Linked DNA regions of Arabidopsis thaliana. The protein of the gene in region 3 interacts with the protein of the main gene of each other region in a pairwise test. Each region holds a gene or a part of one and is shown on either strand. Other genes may lie near its edges. The genes, in order: MEE8, MAF1, ALC and PAR1.

Region 1 (2,783 bases), on a different chromosome or scaffold from region 3:
CCAAAATATATAAAACAGAAATTTCCGTATTTTAAATACTTTCAATTAATCATAAACACATACAAATATTTAGATATAAGATCAATTCATCTAACACTTATCCTAATTTTTTAAATTGAATTACTTGTTTTAAGGATCATACACTGATACTAGGTCCGGTTGTTAACAGATTAATTTTTCATGAAGACCAAAACATATCATAAGGTTTTTATTAAAAGAAAATGGCGGACAGTAGGCGCCTAGTGTTCGAGTATTGACTGATCAAATCATTAACTTTTAATTTGCAAGATCCAGTAGTACTAAGTTCCGAACGGAATTTAATTAAAGATGGTCTCATGGCTAAAACATAACTCGTAACATCTAAACCAAAAACATACAATTTTATTATAACAAACAAACGAAGAACTGAGGCTAAAACATAACTCGTAATATTTAAACCAAAAACATACAATTTGATTATAACAAACCAACAAAGAACAACTGAGAAAATAAGAAAACTTAGCTAATCGAAACTTTTATCAAGTATCTATATAATACAAAACGGCACCAGCTTCAGTAAACAGTCTCCAGTCGTCACATATTCCCTGCGAACCCTTGTAATGCTGGAAATGAAGAGAAATTTAAAAACCAGAAAGATAAATAATCTTTAACGAACAGATCAGAGTATGGCCATAAAAAAAAATTACCTCCGAAAAGAACTGCAAGGCGCAAGTTGTTCGTGTACTCGATAACGCAATCAAGGATGGCGTTGATATCAGACTGTAAGATTATACGGAAAAAAAAAACATTAACAAAACTAACATTTCCCAAGAAAAAAAAATCAGTTAACAAAGGAAGCAGTTGTGAACCTGTGGGCAGTTGGGTGTAATTTCCTTAAGTGTTTCTAGTTGCCTTCTTATACGTTCCCGCCGTTTCTTCTAAGGTATCCAAAGAAGAGAAAAGAGTAAATCAAGAGTTTCTTGGGGAAGACGTATCATAACAATACAACTATTATTGGTTACCTTCTTCAACAAGGTATCATGATCAGATTTGTCTGAAGATTTAATCACGCACTGTGTCTTAACTCGCTTCTTCTTTCCTTCTCTCCTCGACTCAGCTGACCTCTTTTGCCCTACTTTCTCTACACCTTTTTCGTTGTTGATCCTACGCAAGTCACTATTCGCCTCTGGATTAGTGAGCGAGTATAGTATCTCAAACCATTGCCGAAGAAATACTTCGTCCTTGTTCATTCTTTTGATAGTTTTAAGTGATTCTTTACTGATAAGTTTGGCTGATTTGAGTTTAACGCAGACATGCTTCAAGGGTACTTATACAGGGAGAAAAGGATATATATGTAAACTACTCATGACGAGAAACAACAACGTTTGCCGCTCAAAAAGCTACTCTTCGTCACTAAGTTACTAATTCTTTAAATAAAATTACATTTATGTAAGGTGGACATCTAAGGTTCATAGATATAGCCAAGAAATGTAACGTGTCCATTTTTGACCTAAGTCTACGGTTTAAAAAATTAGAGATTTTGGAATGCAGGATATATACACACATAATACGACAATATTAGGACCTTACGAAGTCACGAGGCTCTTGTAATCGTTTACTCAGAACTCCACATGCATTAGGAGTACTCTACGTCGTACCTTTAATACAAATATTTAAATATTTTCGAGAATGATCTAATTAATCTAGTGATGTAAGTTACAATATTTCTGAATGGTACCTTCCGGTTTAGAGAGAACCTTGAGTTGCTAAGGGAGATATCCGGTTATAAAACGGTTCATGCGGCAACCTTGTTTATCATGCGGCAACCTTGTTTGTCATGCGGCATGATCTTTGTCAGCATTCAGCATGTATGTTGGGATTTAGACTTTCTAAAATCTTATCTAGCACTAAAGTTTTGACATCAGCCTTATTTGTCTATATGTATGGGTGACATGGTAATAATTTCTTTAACTAAATCTCTGGGATGATTTTTTAAATTAATTTGTAGTTTCTTTAAGAAGTTACACAACATGAGGTTATAACAATTTTACGTGACATATTTATAACTCACAAATGAACTATTTTTTGTTTTTTATATCTCAGGTGATCGTAAATGCTTTATAATCTCGGGATATGGAAAACAATGTTAAATTGAGCTATTTTGTTTTTGAAATATGAAAATTCATAGTTTAAAATTTACACAATCGATATAATATTCTACAGATTGAGAAATTTATTACCCGTATATAATGATAAGTAAGATTGATTTCAAGAACTTTTGGATCATGAGTCCCTCTATTTTGTTAGTCTTAGTTTAGGACTCTTCAGATTCAAAGTTTTATATATTAAAAAAGTAAATAGTTTCTAAACATGAGTGTTATATCATCGATCCAAACAATTGGTTTTGACAACGTTGCACTATTTAGGTAAAATATGCATCCATGGAAACCAAGATTAATAAACATGATGTTTCGAAAATATTAAAGAAAACTGCAATAGAGAAAGAAAAAAGAAAAAAAACACAAAGACCAAGTGAGATCATGTTATTGCGTAATACATGTGGATTGCGTAGTTTGGTAATGATGTTAGATAGTCTATGCGCTCCAGTGCTCCACAGCAACGGCTAACTTCTCGAACACACGCTCCTATTTTCAACGTGCCAAAGTTAGAGCCTAGCTTTGATTATCTTTTCTGGTCTATACTCATATTTTGCTGCTCCATGTATCCACCATCTCTTTTACTGGGGCACACTATATATATGTAAAGTGCTTTTACTGATAAAAAATAGTAAACAAAATGATATT
Region 2 (6,718 bases), on a different chromosome or scaffold from region 3:
ATGCTTGATAAAAAATGATTCGGTTTTACTATCTCAACAAATTGGGCCTACAACATCCAATTTCATGTAGTGACTTGTTTTTGCCTTTTTCACATCTCAACAAATTGGGTCGTTTGTATTTAAGAAATTGTTACAGCTTTTTAGACTGAATTTTACTTTATGGCTTTATGCTCTCTTTTTCCGTTTTGATTAAGGGTGAATATGTAAACTGTTGATACCATCTGATTTTTTTTATTTTTTATTTTTCTTGTGTGCAACTATACCATCTGAATTCAATTGACATTTTAGCCAAATAAAAAAGATTGGTCCACTTGGATGGCTGTAAAAAAGTTTAGTGGAAGTATTTATAGGGCTTGTTGGCAATCTTCACCAACGGCTATAATGTTGATCTTTTTAAAATTAAACTTACCGTTCGACTGTCTTCTCAACGATTTGACAATTAGCCGTTAGATTAGTATTACTGATTTATTATTAACAAACCCATTTCTTTTCTTATTTTTGAATAAGCTAAATCAGGCCAATAAAAGGGACAAGTAGAGATGGGCTATTTCTTTTTTTCTCTTTTTTTTTTTCTTATGTAGTAGAGAAAAGCCTTTATTCTTAGAGCTATCATTTACCACCCATTAACCAGAAGCTGAGAAATGAAGCAAGCCGAAACGAATTTGTAGTTTTGGACGGTGAAATTATATCGGGCCTTTAATGGGCATGTGAATAGAGTTGAGAGTCTTTTTGCCCCAAATAATCGTTTAAGGGAGTATTGGCTCGTTGGTTTAATATTGGGCCGAAACGAGATTGGGAAGAAGAACAATGTCGGTTTAATCCGGTTAGGGTCGTGGGCTGATTCTGGTTCACCTTTATAGCGTAAGCGAACAAACATTGAAAATGGGGAAGCCAAATTAGTTACCATCCCTAACTCAGTTTTGAGACGTAGTATGAATGAGCCACGGCAGAACCTACGACCTAACTCGATAAAGTAATGGTTACTCTTGGAGACGGAAGAAAGCACAAAGATTTTGATAAGGCTTTCTAGTTGGTGAAATGGTCAAAATCGCTCGGAGAGCCATCATAGGAGCGGGGAGGTGCTATCTGAATATCCCAATGCATCAAGACAAGATGGATTCAGAAAACAAAGAAATTAAACAAACATTTTAAAATATGCTCTTAGTTTTAGATAATATAATGTTTTCAATACCAATTATCTTACACTGATAGTGGTCAAGTTACTAATCACTTTTAATAAATTGGTGATAGTCAAACGTATTGAAAATTATCGATTTAAAAATATTTGAATTCAAAACCATTTTAGTGAAAGTTTGCATTGTAGTTTTGATTATCCGATCAATCTTTAATATAATTACGTCAATAATAACTGAAATCCTTGAATTAACCGTTACCCGATTCATAAGCACTACTTTCCGATCAAAACCAATGAGATAAAATAACTTTTAAACCCTCCAAATAAAAAGAGAAAACCTTAAAAACCAATTTCTGTTCGGTGGGGATGATGATCGGACTCGGACCGGTCTAACCGACTGGATTAAAAAGTCTTTAACAACGACAAGCTTAAAAATTTGCCTCTTAGTGGCTTCAAAACGCAATCGTTTCGCTTAATACTATTATTTTCTCTATCTCGTTTAACCAAAAAAAAAAACGAGTTGGAGGAAAAAAAAAACCAAGAAAAAAGAATAAAAAGCAAAAAGCATTGAGCGTCTCCGGAGATTAGGATTAAATTAGGGCATAACCCTTATCGGAGATTTGAAGCCATGGGAAGAAGAAAAATCGAGATCAAGCGAATCGAGAACAAAAGCAGTCGACAAGTCACTTTCTCCAAACGACGCAATGGTCTCATCGACAAAGCTCGACAACTTTCGATTCTCTGTGAATCCTCCGTCGCTGTTGTCGTCGTATCTGCCTCCGGAAAACTCTATGACTCTTCCTCCGGTGACGAGTAAGAAGATACTTTCCTTTTCTGGGTCTCACTCGATTTTTGTGCTTTTTTACTTTGTTTAATTACTTTCTCCATATAGAAGCTTCAAATCTAGGGCTTTTTGATTCCATCAAATCAACTGAGATTTTCTCCTTGTTTTCTGTATGAAGATAGCAGATGCGTAAGCTTTAACCTAATTTAAGACTAAACATTTTGATCGCCAAGATATGTTCTTGATGTTCGTTTCGTGTTTTTTTTTTCGTGTTTTTTTTTTTTTCATTTTAAAATCATTTTTATCTCTTTTTTTACCTTCATTTGTGACGAAATTTAATATTGCATGTTATTCAAGAAACTTTTCTACACGTGGTGATTCGTTCTTGATGTTGTTTAAGTAATCTTTGTATTGCTAGTTCCATCTGTTGTTCACTTTGAAGCTTCGTTTTTTCATATAAGAAACAATATGTTTAGATTGTTCAAATTTTGAGATTTGGTAATTATATTCAATATTGCAATGCACTTCAAGTAGTTTTGTTGAGAGATTATTTGGGGTTAGTGGTAACATTAATCGAATATCTTTGGTTCAAATTGGTTAACACATTGTACTTTATGTTGATCCAAAATGTATTGTAGATCTTTTCTTTTGTAATTCTCTTTAAGGAATAAGGTTTATCTAGTTGATTTTGATGGTTTATTGTAGTGCTGGGATAAGTTTCCACATTGATACTCGCCACACATTCTTCATTACTTAACTAATTGGATATCGATTTTAACCCTTTTAATCGTAATTTGTTGTGTGTTTATGACACCATACAAGATACATTATGTCTTACTGAGTGACTCTTTGTTGCTCTCTAAGATGTTGTAGTTTGGATTTCTTTGCTAAAGAAACTCAAACTATAACTGATTTTACTGCTACCATATATATGTCAGTGGCCTAGTAGGTTCATTAAGTAGAAATCGGTCGCCAATTTTACTAATTGGGAGAAACCACTAGACTACAACCAAATGTTCAATGACTTTAATAGTCTTCTGTTATTTGTCGTGGATATTTTTAACCCCATGAACTTTTGTATCTAGAAAAATCTCATCCACTTCTCTTTTAGAATACTTTGAATGCGACTAAAAGTGAGTTTTTTTTTTCTAATAGACCTAAGATAAAATCATCAATGGATAAGTAGGAAATGGAAAGGTAACTCTTGTCAGTATGTGTATATATACAGCTCCTTCTCATTTCCTTGATGTTGACTCCATAAATGCTTGATCATGAAAGCAAATTTGTTAAATTTGTAACCAACAAAATGCACAGACTATAGACGAAGTATTAGGAACCGTATCTATCTGTCTCCATTTTACAATAGTCAAGCTCTAGTTGTAGCTAGTTTCTTTATTTAGTTCTTATACCTTAACAAAGTGGCACTATGCAAAGTGTTTTTAGTTGAGATTAGTCGTCTTATGCGTCTTACTAATTGTTCATTTTTTCTTCTTTTTGTGATTGATGTAAAATTACTAAGTCACAACTTGAGATGTTACTAAAAAGATAAGAACGTGTAATAACTGAAGTGAATTTGAAGCCAGTCTCTATTCATATCATAGCATTAATAGATCATGGACAACACATATATAGGATTAGAGCTGTCATGACCTTCCCGGAAATGCTAAATCAGTTTCTTGGTTTATCCTTTTTGGAGTATCATGATATCATTTAGCCAAAGGTTTTTGGTTTCAGTATTCCGATTCGTTTGACGTTATGTGTGAAAGCGTCAATAACTAAAACTTGGATTGACTAGTCAAAATATAAACTGATTGCATTGAATTCTTGAAAATTTTCCCTTAAAATGAACATGAATTTCATCAAGATTTTGTCTTTTGGAAGGATGTGATTTATAATCTATACAATCATACATTTTGCATGATATTAGTTTTTTGAAGAACCAAAAATAGAGCTTCTTTATAAAACTGATTTAGCCTTGATAAGAAAAAGAAGGTAGATAATCGAACTCATGGGGATGAGTTAAAAATGTGTGCACTTAGTTTCTAAAACCTTTTGAAGTCGAAACAATGACAATATTGGCTGCGAAGTTGATATATAACAGGATCTTAAAGTTGAAATTGTAAATTCAGATTTTAATTTTAGAGCACCAGATGATCAGAGTTTCAGATTTACATTTGAAGTATAAAACATTTTGAACACATATATCTAAAGCAGTAACTTCAAAAATAGGGTAACTAATAGTAACTTACATTGTTTTTTTTAATGCTTTTATACTTACTATCATTTTTATATATAGATGCCTGGTTAAGTAAAGATGATTATCAAAAACTGTTGGTTAGTAACAGAAATTGTTGCAAATGTAACATATTATATAAGCTTTCTTTCACTTTGGTGCATTCTCTCTAAATAATGGCCTCTATTGATGCAGTATCTGATTCTTAGTTTTGAAATGGTTTTTGCATAAATTATTGTTCTAATGCATTTTTGTTTTATCTCCAGCATTTCCAAGATCATTGATCGTTATGAAATACAACATGCTGATGAACTTAGAGCCTTAGTAAGTAATTAGCTAAGAACGTCATTCTAATATTCTTCTGGATGCGGTTTTTGGTGTTATGAAGGATAGAAGCGCTGTTCAAGCCGGAGAAACCTCAATGTTTTGAACTCGTAACACCGAACTTAATTCTCTAGAGTTACAGTTATTGTGTCTACTGGAAAATACAAGAACTTCACAATCTTTCTGACCATTCCTTTTCTTCATGTGCAGGATCTTGAAGAAAAAATTCAGAATTATCTTCCACACAAGGAGTTACTAGAAACAGTCCAAAGGTTAGCAGTACGACACATTTTTCTCCCCTCTTCTTCTGATAAAAAAAATGTTTTTTTTCTTTTGTCTACTTGTGAATACAGCAAGCTTGAAGAACCAAATGTCGATAATGTAAGTGTAGATTCTCTAATTTCTCTGGAGGAACAACTTGAGACTGCTCTGTCCGTAAGTAGAGCTAGGAAGGTATATGTGCTGCTACTAAGTGATTCAACCAATTACTCCACAAAACCTTCTTTTTAGTTAGTTATCCTAGAACAATCTTTTGACATAAATCTTAATGTCTTGTTATAGGCAGAACTGATGATGGAGTATATCGAGTCCCTTAAAGAAAAGGTTAGTGCTTTGGTTTTTATTTTCGATAAAGGCCATATTCTAGGCTATGATGATTCTTGAATTCTATTAACCTGCTGAGTCTACAGATTACTATATATATATATATATATCTTTTGGTCTTGTCTTAGTTCCTGATTTAGTATTGGCTTCATTCAGGTGAAACCCTAATGAGAATTAAAAAAACAAGCAGTTTTAAACTCTTGATCAAATCCAACCTTTCCCTCATAAAGTGTCGAATTTGGATGAGGATGATTTATGTTTCGAGAAGGAAACATGTTTGGAAATAGCTATAGAAGTTGTTAGAAACTAATGACCTTATGATCTTTTCCAAACAGGAGAAATTGCTGAGAGAAGAGAACCAGGTTCTGGCTAGCCAGGTAACAATGACCACAATATCTTCTGCTCTTGAAGCTAATTAATCACTTTATACGTCCCCGTTATAGAGAGATACACATATACACGTACATGAAAACTAAAAGTTGAAGGACTTTGATGGATACTAGACAATTATAGTGAAACCCTAAATATGTGATAAGTGATAACAAAATGCTTTTAAAATCTATCTTTCTTGTTAATTTAGTAGCTGTCAGAGAAGAAAGGTATGTCTCACCGATGAAAGATACTCAAAACCCGGTATTTTTAATTTGTGAAATTTGCAAATAAAAAAAATGCTTTCTACAAGATAGATTAATTTCTTGCAATGTTTAGTAGCTGTAGAAAAAAAAGAAATGTAAGAAAGTTTCTTACAGATGGGAAAGAATACGTTGCTGGCAACAGATGATGAGAGAGGAATGTTTCCGGGAAGTAGCTCCGGCAACAAAATACCGGAGACTCTCCCGCTGCTCAATTAGCCACCATCATCAACGGCTGAGTTTTCACCTTAAACTCAAAGCCTGATTCATAATTAAGAGAATAAATTTGTATATTATAAAAAGCTGTGTAATCTCAAACCTTTTATCTTCCTCTAGTGTGGAATTTAAGGTCAAAAAGAAAACGAGAAAGTATGGATCAGTGTTGTACCTCCTTCGGAGACAAGATCAGAGTTTGTGTGTTTGTGTCTGAATGTACGGATTGGATTTTTAAAGTTGTGCTTTCTTTCTTCAGCGTGAAGAACCCTAGACCTTCTTATTTCTTTTTTTTTTTACTTTTTTTTTTTATAACTTTAATTATTTGATTATTTGTCTTACATTACGTGGCAAAGTTATTTAGTTGCATCTCTTTTAATTTGATCAAAACCATATCAGATATTTTGCTCTTTTTTCCAAGTTTAGTGATTCTGTTTTTGAGAGCTCCAAACTATATAAGATATTTTTCACCTTTTCCAAGTTTTATTATTTGTGTTTTTGAAGAACTCAAAAAAGCCAGCTTTTGAACTCTGTTTCATGTTTTGGTTCTTTCTGATGAATCCAGATCCATACAACCGTATGCCAAACTCACTGCTCGTATGTTGTTTAGTATAATATTACAGGATTCTCAACTTTTTACAAATACACATTTATGTACCGCTCTTTGTGTTCTTAGTCTTGAGAAACACTTGAGTAACTTGTTGAAGATCTGATATATCCAAAAAAGTTCTAAAGTCTAAACAATGCGGAATGAACTAGCTATCCTCTTCAGATCCTTGTAGTGTCTCTTCCAT
Region 3 (3,681 bases):
CATTTTGCCTTCAACAGTGTGAAGACGAGTCATGCAAGCACACAACCCGCTCCCCCAACTTTCGTCTACTCGGTGAACGTGAACGGGGGACAGTTTGCCCAAACTATCCTAACTGTAACGGAACCCTCTTACGAAAGGTATATACCATCATCAACCTTATAACTCCTATCTCTCTATTGCTTCACAGACTAACTCTTGACTTTACAGTACACTGAAGCAGACTTGTACAAGCAACTGTCATACTTCTGCCACATCTTAGACACACAATGCTCTTTAGAAAAGGTTTCTACTTTACAACCTTGTTATATTATTAATATCAATTTGTCTTGTCTATATCCCTAAAGTTATCGGTACCATTTGAAATAACAGATGGATGTTGGCGTGAGAATTCAAGTAGAGAAAGCAATGACGAAGATAAGACCTGCGGTTAAGTCAGCAGCAGCAATCACTCGAAGTAGTAGAGACCGGTGTGCTTATGGATGGATGCAACTCACAGACATAGTCATTTGATAGTTGTAATAATCATCTCATATGTAAGTAAATTAGTCTTTTATATATAATCTGCTTCAGACATCATTATAATCAAACTACTCAGATTTTGTTCACTCCTAAAGCTTATTAGCATAACTATAACTGAACATAGAAATCTGGCCAATGCTAAAACTCAAAACATTGTTCACTCCTGTCTGGCAGGTACTAGAGGAATTCCGATCATCATCATTGTCTGAATGTTATCTTCAAAGCAGAGTGGCTGTGGAAAAGCACATTCCTTGACTTGTTTTAGCTGGTTCCAGCGAGTGAGGAGCAGCGAGAAGAGTCTCTAGGTTCAGGTCTTGCTCTAAGGTCTCATTGATCCTTGTATGAGTTGGAGGTGGAACCTGTGGTAATCGCATAGGGTTTAAGCCTAAACCATTCATAACGGCTAAAGTCTGCATCATGCAGTAAATCAAGTTAATGATCTGAGTGATGTAATTTACAAATCAGACTTTGAACGTATATAATCATAGTAAGTAGGAAAAAAACCTGGACTTGAAGTTGAAGCTGCTTCAGATATTCTATAGCTTCATCAAGCATTGAGGCTTTATCAGTCTATAAACAAACAAAAGATAACGGATCAATCAGAACAATGTTTCTCACTATCTCTGATTCGAACAAAGATTGATTAACCTTGTTGGAATTGGGAATGAGTTTCTGCAAAGCTTTCATTTTCTCGTTGATCTTGCTCCTCCTCTTCTGCTAACACTCAGATTCTAATCAACTACAATCTCAAGGTTCTTCTTCTTTCTAAATTAAGAATCTTAAAAGGAAGATAAAAGAGAAAACCTTTTCAGACAAGTTGTGGAATTGAGCATCAATGTTTCTCTTCAACGAATTTCTCTGTTTAGCTCCACTTCTCTTTAGTGTTTAGCCATTCCAAAAAGAAAAGAGACTAATTTTGGTTTTTGTTTTCTTTTACAAGGAAAGCCAAGTGAAGCATCTCTGCAGCTAAGAATAGTTAAGTTTATACCTTGTGTTCGAAAGCATATTTGTCTTGGCCAGTTTCAGAGACTCCATAACCGACGGAAGAAACAGCTCCGCCGGAAACGGAAGGGAAGAAGGTCTCAGCGGAGGAAACATTAGTACTCTTCGGTGGTGAAGAAGGTTGAGCTGTAGGAGTACGGGAAAGAATCTGTCGGAGAAAGCTCGAGAGTTCGTCGGAAGAAGATGGAGGGGGAAGACGATCACCGACGTCAGAATCACCCATCTCTCTCTCTCTCTCTCTCTCTGCTCTACTCTGTGTGTAAAAATTATCACTGTGGCTTTTTCGTAGTAAAGCTTATAGGCGGGGGAGGTAGGACGCGTGAGATCACGTTCTTCAGAGAAGCGCGTGGAGGTTCTAAAAGAGGCGAGTGGCGTGTCGAATCCCTATAGACAGAATCTGGTGTCTCACATCACTCTGTGTGTGAACAGTTTCCTTTTGTAGCAATTTTATTTAATAATATTATATTTTTTACCTAATAAAAAAAAGGAAAAAAGCATTTTTGGACCACCAAGTAAATAAAAAACATACATTTTTATTGTTTTTTTCAATGTGATAAGTTAAATTGAGAGGAGGGGATGAAATTATGAAAATCAGTAAATGAAACGGTTGAAAAAATAAGAGTATTGATAAGATAGAGCATTGATAGACTATTTAATTATTATTATGACTAAACATGAAAATGGACAATTACTTGAAAAGTAAGGTCTCGCAACAGTTTCACCATTTTTGACAAATTACAAAAATCTATTTTTTCCTTCTTTTTTGTTGTTGTTGTTGTCCACAGATAAAGTGTGAATAAAACTGCATGCATTTCGAAAGATTATTTATTCGAGAGATTATTTAACACAAAATAAAATTCAGATATTATAATGGTCAATACAAAGACGATAACATGTCCTTGATCATTAGCCTTTTTTTAATGCATCCAAAGGGAAATATATATAATATAGTAATTAAAATAATTATGGTTCATAGCAAAAATAAGAATAACTAGATTTTAACCCGCGGTATACCGCGAAAACAATTTATTTTTTAAATTAATATATATAAAAGTTTGTAAATTGTATCTATCTATAAAATATTTTTATTGTATAGTTTACAATTGTTATTAAGTAACGTCCTGCCAAACCCGTCCCGCCAACCCGTCCTCTAAAAAAACTCATTTATTTTATGAATGTGATCTTATTTATGATATGTTTATGAATTATTGTCTAAATATTTTGTAATTTTGTAGTAATTAAATGTTATCAAATATCTCTACGGTTTGATGATTATAATCATGCAGAAAAGCAATATCAAAAATGATAATTTTGTAGTAATTAAATGATATTAAATATTTTAGAAGTTTTATTTTAGTAATTAATCGTGTAGTTAAGGTAGAGAGATTTTGGAAAGATTGTTAAATGTCAAATATTTAATTAGAAGATTTTCTTTCTAATTATCAAAAACAATTATTAAATGCCAATGACAGCCGCTGTAAATAAATCCCAACTCCAGAATTTATTTCACAAAGTGGCTGCAAAAATATATATATAGATGATAATAATCAAAATCAGAAATCAAATCAAAATCCAACTTGCCATCTAAATAAATGGAATCTTTCTAACTTGATAAAAAGGGAAATATTGGTAATTATGGTTCATAGCAAAAGAAAGAAACAAAAAAACTGAAATCCAACGAGATAAACGGAATCTTTCAAACTTGATAAAACATTTAAACGACTTCTCGGTTGCAAAGAGGACACTTGTTCGTGACCATTAGCCAATTCTTGATGCATCCGAAGTGAAAGTCATGCCCACATCCCAGTTTCGAAACTTCTTCATTGTCCTTCAATTTCTGCTGACAGATCACACATCTCTTCGTTTCATCGTCGCTACGCTTTTCATATTTCCTTCTTATTAGATTCTCATCAATCACTTCCTCGCTTAAACCAGTGCGTTCATCTCCTGTTTCGTCAGTGATGCTCAATAATTCCTAGAAAAAAAAAGATTCATTCATAAAATTATCGATATCTAAACTCTGCAGCTTATACAACTCTAGAATCAAGAAACCAAAATGGTACATATAATTTTTATTAAAGAGAGTCCTAATCTCTTCTACATCTAGGATTCAAATGCACTTCTTTGAAAACTACACATGCAACCGACTAGTTAACCAAT
Region 4 (3,360 bases), on a different chromosome or scaffold from region 3:
ACATAACTAAGGCAATCAAAAAACATGTGGAATCGTAATCTTTTAGGCTTTTAGCCCATACAGGATGTGATTAGTTATAATCTATCAATGGTTTTTATTTTAAATTTTGGTTTGGTAAAGGATGTTGAAGTTAACATTATTGATTACAACTTCGTACTATACGATGTTCAACCTTAAATTCATCTTTGTAATGTAATTTGGATAGAGAGTAGATAGGGTTGGTAAGAAAATTATATCTTCCCCGACTTTCCGCTATGTGTGGAGTAAATAGTTCCATAGAGTTCGATATAGCTGCATTGTTGTGGGTCAGAAATTACGTTATAATGAATACTAAAACTGATATTGTTTTTTTTCTAGCGGCAAATGTGTTTAAATTTCTGTGTAGATGCTAGCTCTAGTACTTACACGACTAAAAAGATTTGTCTTGTATATGTATGTACAAGGAATATACATGAACTCTATTGTTGGACCACGGGAACTCAAATCTAGTAAGTTCATCATAAGCTTAAATAAATATCGACCGACTTTGGAAATCTTTGTTATAATAAAGCATGTGAAATGAGCTCATCCAGATTTAAAAATGGGCCACGTAACATTAACTTTCTCAATATCATTAATGTCAAATCTCATATGCAAGTGAAACCTCGTGATCCAATTTAATATCTATACTATATGGCGTCCTACTAAAATAAGTTATATAACTACATTAATTAATGCTAATTTTCGTTAATGAACACTTCTCATAACCGTGAAACGGCTTAATAAATAAATCAGAACATTAAAATTAAAGATTATACTCCTACTAAAGAAAAAAAAAATTCGAAGAAAAAAATGTTGAGTCTCTTTCCTCATATATCAAAGCTAAAATCCCATGTTATAAAAAAGGAAATAAAAGATTTGAAAAAAAAAAACGTTTTTTTTTGTTTTTAGGAATCGAAGAAAGAAGAGCAGTCTTGGTGTGATAATCTTCAACCTCCGAACTTCATGTCTTCTTGATCTATGCGTTGAAGAAACGAAGTAAGGACTTTAATGGTTTTGATCTGACATTGTAGAGACAGAATGTAACCAGCTGTCTCTTCGAAGAGCGCGTCCACACCAAGCGCCGCTCCTCCGGGGATAATCCTCTGCAACGCCTCAATCTTTTCCTTGACCTCATCTTCTTCTTCTTCTGCTTCTTCTCGGTCTTCACGTACGCTTGCGTTAGTCTCTGACAATCTCCGTTTGGTTCTGCGCTCGAAACCAGCGGCGCGTGATTTCACGGTGGCTGAGCATGACGGTGACAGAGAGCGTCTCGTGGCGTCGGGAGTGGCTAGAGTTTCTTCCATTGAAAGAAAGAGAGAGATGAATGATGAGTCTGAGAGAATAATGAACAAGTAAGGAATGTGGATATGTGTAACTGTGTGTGTTATATATATATATATGAGTGATGATGGATTTAGTAGACAAAAATGTTGAAATGTGGTCGGTTCAACCTGATTTTATTTTGGTTTGTTGCGAGTTTAGAGACAATACTCTATCGGTTTGATTTGGTTTGCTATGCTTTATGTTACATTGTTTGCTTACATTAGTGAAAGGTTCGGTTATGAACGAATTTTGGTTTGGTTTGTCTATAAAAAACGATGTAAAAATTGAAACGATATAAAATAAATTCTACATTTAGAAATTGGGAAATGGTTAAATGAGCGGTATTGCCATCAAAGCTGGGTCCAGTTGTGCGTTATTTTTAATTTTATTATCCTCGTGTTTCGGATTGTGGAGATTTATTTAATTATCTCTTACTTTGGTTGCTTCCACAGATTTGGATCTTTAGAAGAAGAGCTTTCACGCGCCATGTCGACTGGTTTAGACTTTAGTGGACTCATCACTCACTTAAGTGGATCAACCTCGCATCTAGATTGGATTTTTTTGTTTGTTTGATAAATGAGATTTGGCACGTTAAATTTGTTTGTTTAAGAGCTAGACGTTTGACATAGTAATTAACTAATTATACAACAATGCTTTATTATTGTATTAGGATATGCGTTGTTAATACAAGCCGGATTACTTTTAGCAAGTGTCTCATTTATTTATCAAGCCGGATTACTTGCTAAAATATTATTCGAACTTTAATTTAAACTCTAAATGGTTTGTGATCTGGTTTAGCCATAAATGTAATAGCTGCTATACGTTGTTTTGCATAGTTACCAGTCTTATTTTCTACAACAAGAATAAAGAGTATAAACTATTTTATGTGAGCTTAAATTTCCAAAAGAAAAATTCAAGTAGACGACGACAAACCCTATAGTTATGCACTTATGCTTATAGGCCATTCGGGTGGTGCCTGGTAATGGACTAATGCCTGATGGTATAAGAGTAAGTTTTGTCGTAATTACGTAGTACGGACGAAATGAAAACGACCACGCGCGTGGAGATAAGGAAGGAAAAGAAGAAGGATACAGTGAGACACTACTTGCATGGGAACAAGGAAGAGAGAGGAGAGGACATGTGCGGGTCACATGAATATCTCCATCTTCAAAGCCCCATTCCCATGTGCTTCCTCCTCTCTATACATTATGTACAGACTGTAATATAGTATTATTATTAGATGGATGAGATCAAATAGATCCTCTAAGAGATAGTGAACTTGTTCGTACAATTGAGGACCTAATCCTACTAAGATCCACATGATATCTATCGGGCATGGTGGCCACGTGTCAACCCTTTTTTGGGTCCCCCCCACCTCAGTGACCTCCTAAATCTGTCCTTCATTTTTTTTTTGTCAACTCCTTTTTCTTATTAAAAGAAACTCCAATTAACATCCCATATTTCTTACCACGTAAAAACAACAATCTCAATATATCTATAATGTTAGAGAAATGGCCACTATATAACAAGAAGAAAGCCAAGGAAGTTTAGTGTTATTGGATTCGAATATAGTGTTACATGTTTCTAGCTAGAGATCTTTATAATATACATCTTTTATACATAAAACCGTTATAGTAAATCTTACTTAATGTTGGTTCCATAAATGAGCCCTCCGGTGCATTTCTTTTGTCAACTATATGATATAAAAACTAGATAAAGACTTAATAAAAAATAATTGCATTAAAAAAAAACAATTGCATTTTTGTAGGTCTTTAATCCAAGATTGCAAATTAACCTAAATCTACTCAAGAAAAAAAATTTAGTAAAGAATAATGATTGACATCTAATTAAAAGAAATAATGTATGGTCTTAATTAAGACAAAGATCAGGAACAGAATAACACATTTCTTTTACGTCTAGGGTTTTTAGTAATACTAAAAATTGTTAAGATGTTGTTTTAGAAGAAGAAGAAGATGGAAGAGAGAAATAAAGAAAGAGATGATGTTTCCAAAGAGG

The links.
Region 1: the proteins of ALC (region 3) and MEE8 interact in a two-hybrid assay, tested with the Arabidopsis thaliana proteins (one large-scale study listed by BioGRID).
Region 2: the proteins of ALC (region 3) and MAF1 interact in a two-hybrid assay, tested with the Arabidopsis thaliana proteins (one large-scale study listed by BioGRID).
Region 4: the proteins of ALC (region 3) and PAR1 interact in a two-hybrid assay, tested with the Arabidopsis thaliana proteins (one large-scale study listed by BioGRID).

Annotation. Positions count from the first base shown.
Region 1 is NC_003070.9:8,873,606-8,876,388, forward strand, and holds MEE8 (basic helix-loop-helix (bHLH) DNA-binding family protein), read right to left. Parts: upstream 1,230-2,783; coding exon 1,002-1,229; intron 915-1,001; coding exon 849-914; intron 760-848; coding exon 700-759; intron 603-699; coding exon 519-602; downstream 1-518. UniProt on the Arabidopsis thaliana protein: Required during early embryo development, for the endosperm formation.
Region 2 is NC_003070.9:28,953,916-28,960,633, forward strand, and holds MAF1 (K-box region and MADS-box transcription factor family protein), read left to right. Parts: upstream 1-1,606; 5' UTR 1,607-1,763; coding exon 1,764-1,948; exon of another isoform or gene 1,949-4,395; coding exon of another isoform or gene 4,396-4,418; coding exon 4,419-4,476; intron 4,477-4,540; coding exon of another isoform or gene 4,541-4,586; intron 4,587-4,686; coding exon 4,687-4,929; intron 4,930-5,037; coding exon 5,038-5,079; coding exon of another isoform or gene 5,080-5,139; exon of another isoform or gene 5,140-5,235; coding exon of another isoform or gene 5,236-5,247; exon of another isoform or gene 5,248-5,414; coding exon 5,415-5,456; coding exon of another isoform or gene 5,457-5,498; exon of another isoform or gene 5,499-5,662; coding exon of another isoform or gene 5,663-5,695; exon of another isoform or gene 5,696-5,828; coding exon 5,829-5,930; 3' UTR 5,931-6,196; downstream 6,197-6,718. Other genes in the region: AT1G77090 (thylakoid lumenal protein (Mog1/PsbP/DUF1795-like photosystem II reaction center PsbP family protein)), read right to left, coding at 6,661-6,718. UniProt on the Arabidopsis thaliana protein: Probable transcription factor involved in the negative regulation of flowering time in both long and short days, probably through the photoperiodic and vernalization pathways. Prevents premature flowering.
Region 3 is NC_003076.8:26,784,595-26,788,275, forward strand, and holds ALC (basic helix-loop-helix (bHLH) DNA-binding superfamily protein), read right to left. Parts: upstream 1,838-3,681; 5' UTR 1,745-1,837; coding exon 1,508-1,744; exon of another isoform or gene 1,396-1,507; coding exon 1,324-1,395; exon of another isoform or gene 1,234-1,323; coding exon 1,168-1,233; coding exon of another isoform or gene 1,090-1,167; coding exon 1,024-1,089; exon of another isoform or gene 930-1,023; coding exon 738-929; 3' UTR 512-737; downstream 1-511. Other genes in the region: ICU2 (DNA-directed DNA polymerase), read left to right, coding at 18-137, 208-282, 370-510; AT5G67120 (RING/U-box superfamily protein), read right to left, coding at 3,236-3,496. UniProt on the Arabidopsis thaliana protein: Required for the dehiscence of fruit, especially for the separation of the valve cells from the replum. Promotes the differentiation of a strip of labile nonlignified cells sandwiched between layers of lignified cells.
Region 4 is NC_003071.7:17,835,863-17,839,222, forward strand, and holds PAR1 (phy rapidly regulated 1), read right to left. Parts: upstream 1,757-3,360; 5' UTR 1,326-1,756; coding exon 969-1,325; 3' UTR 554-968; downstream 1-553. UniProt on the Arabidopsis thaliana protein: Atypical bHLH transcription factor that acts as a negative regulator of a variety of shade avoidance syndrome (SAS) responses, including seedling elongation and photosynthetic pigment accumulation.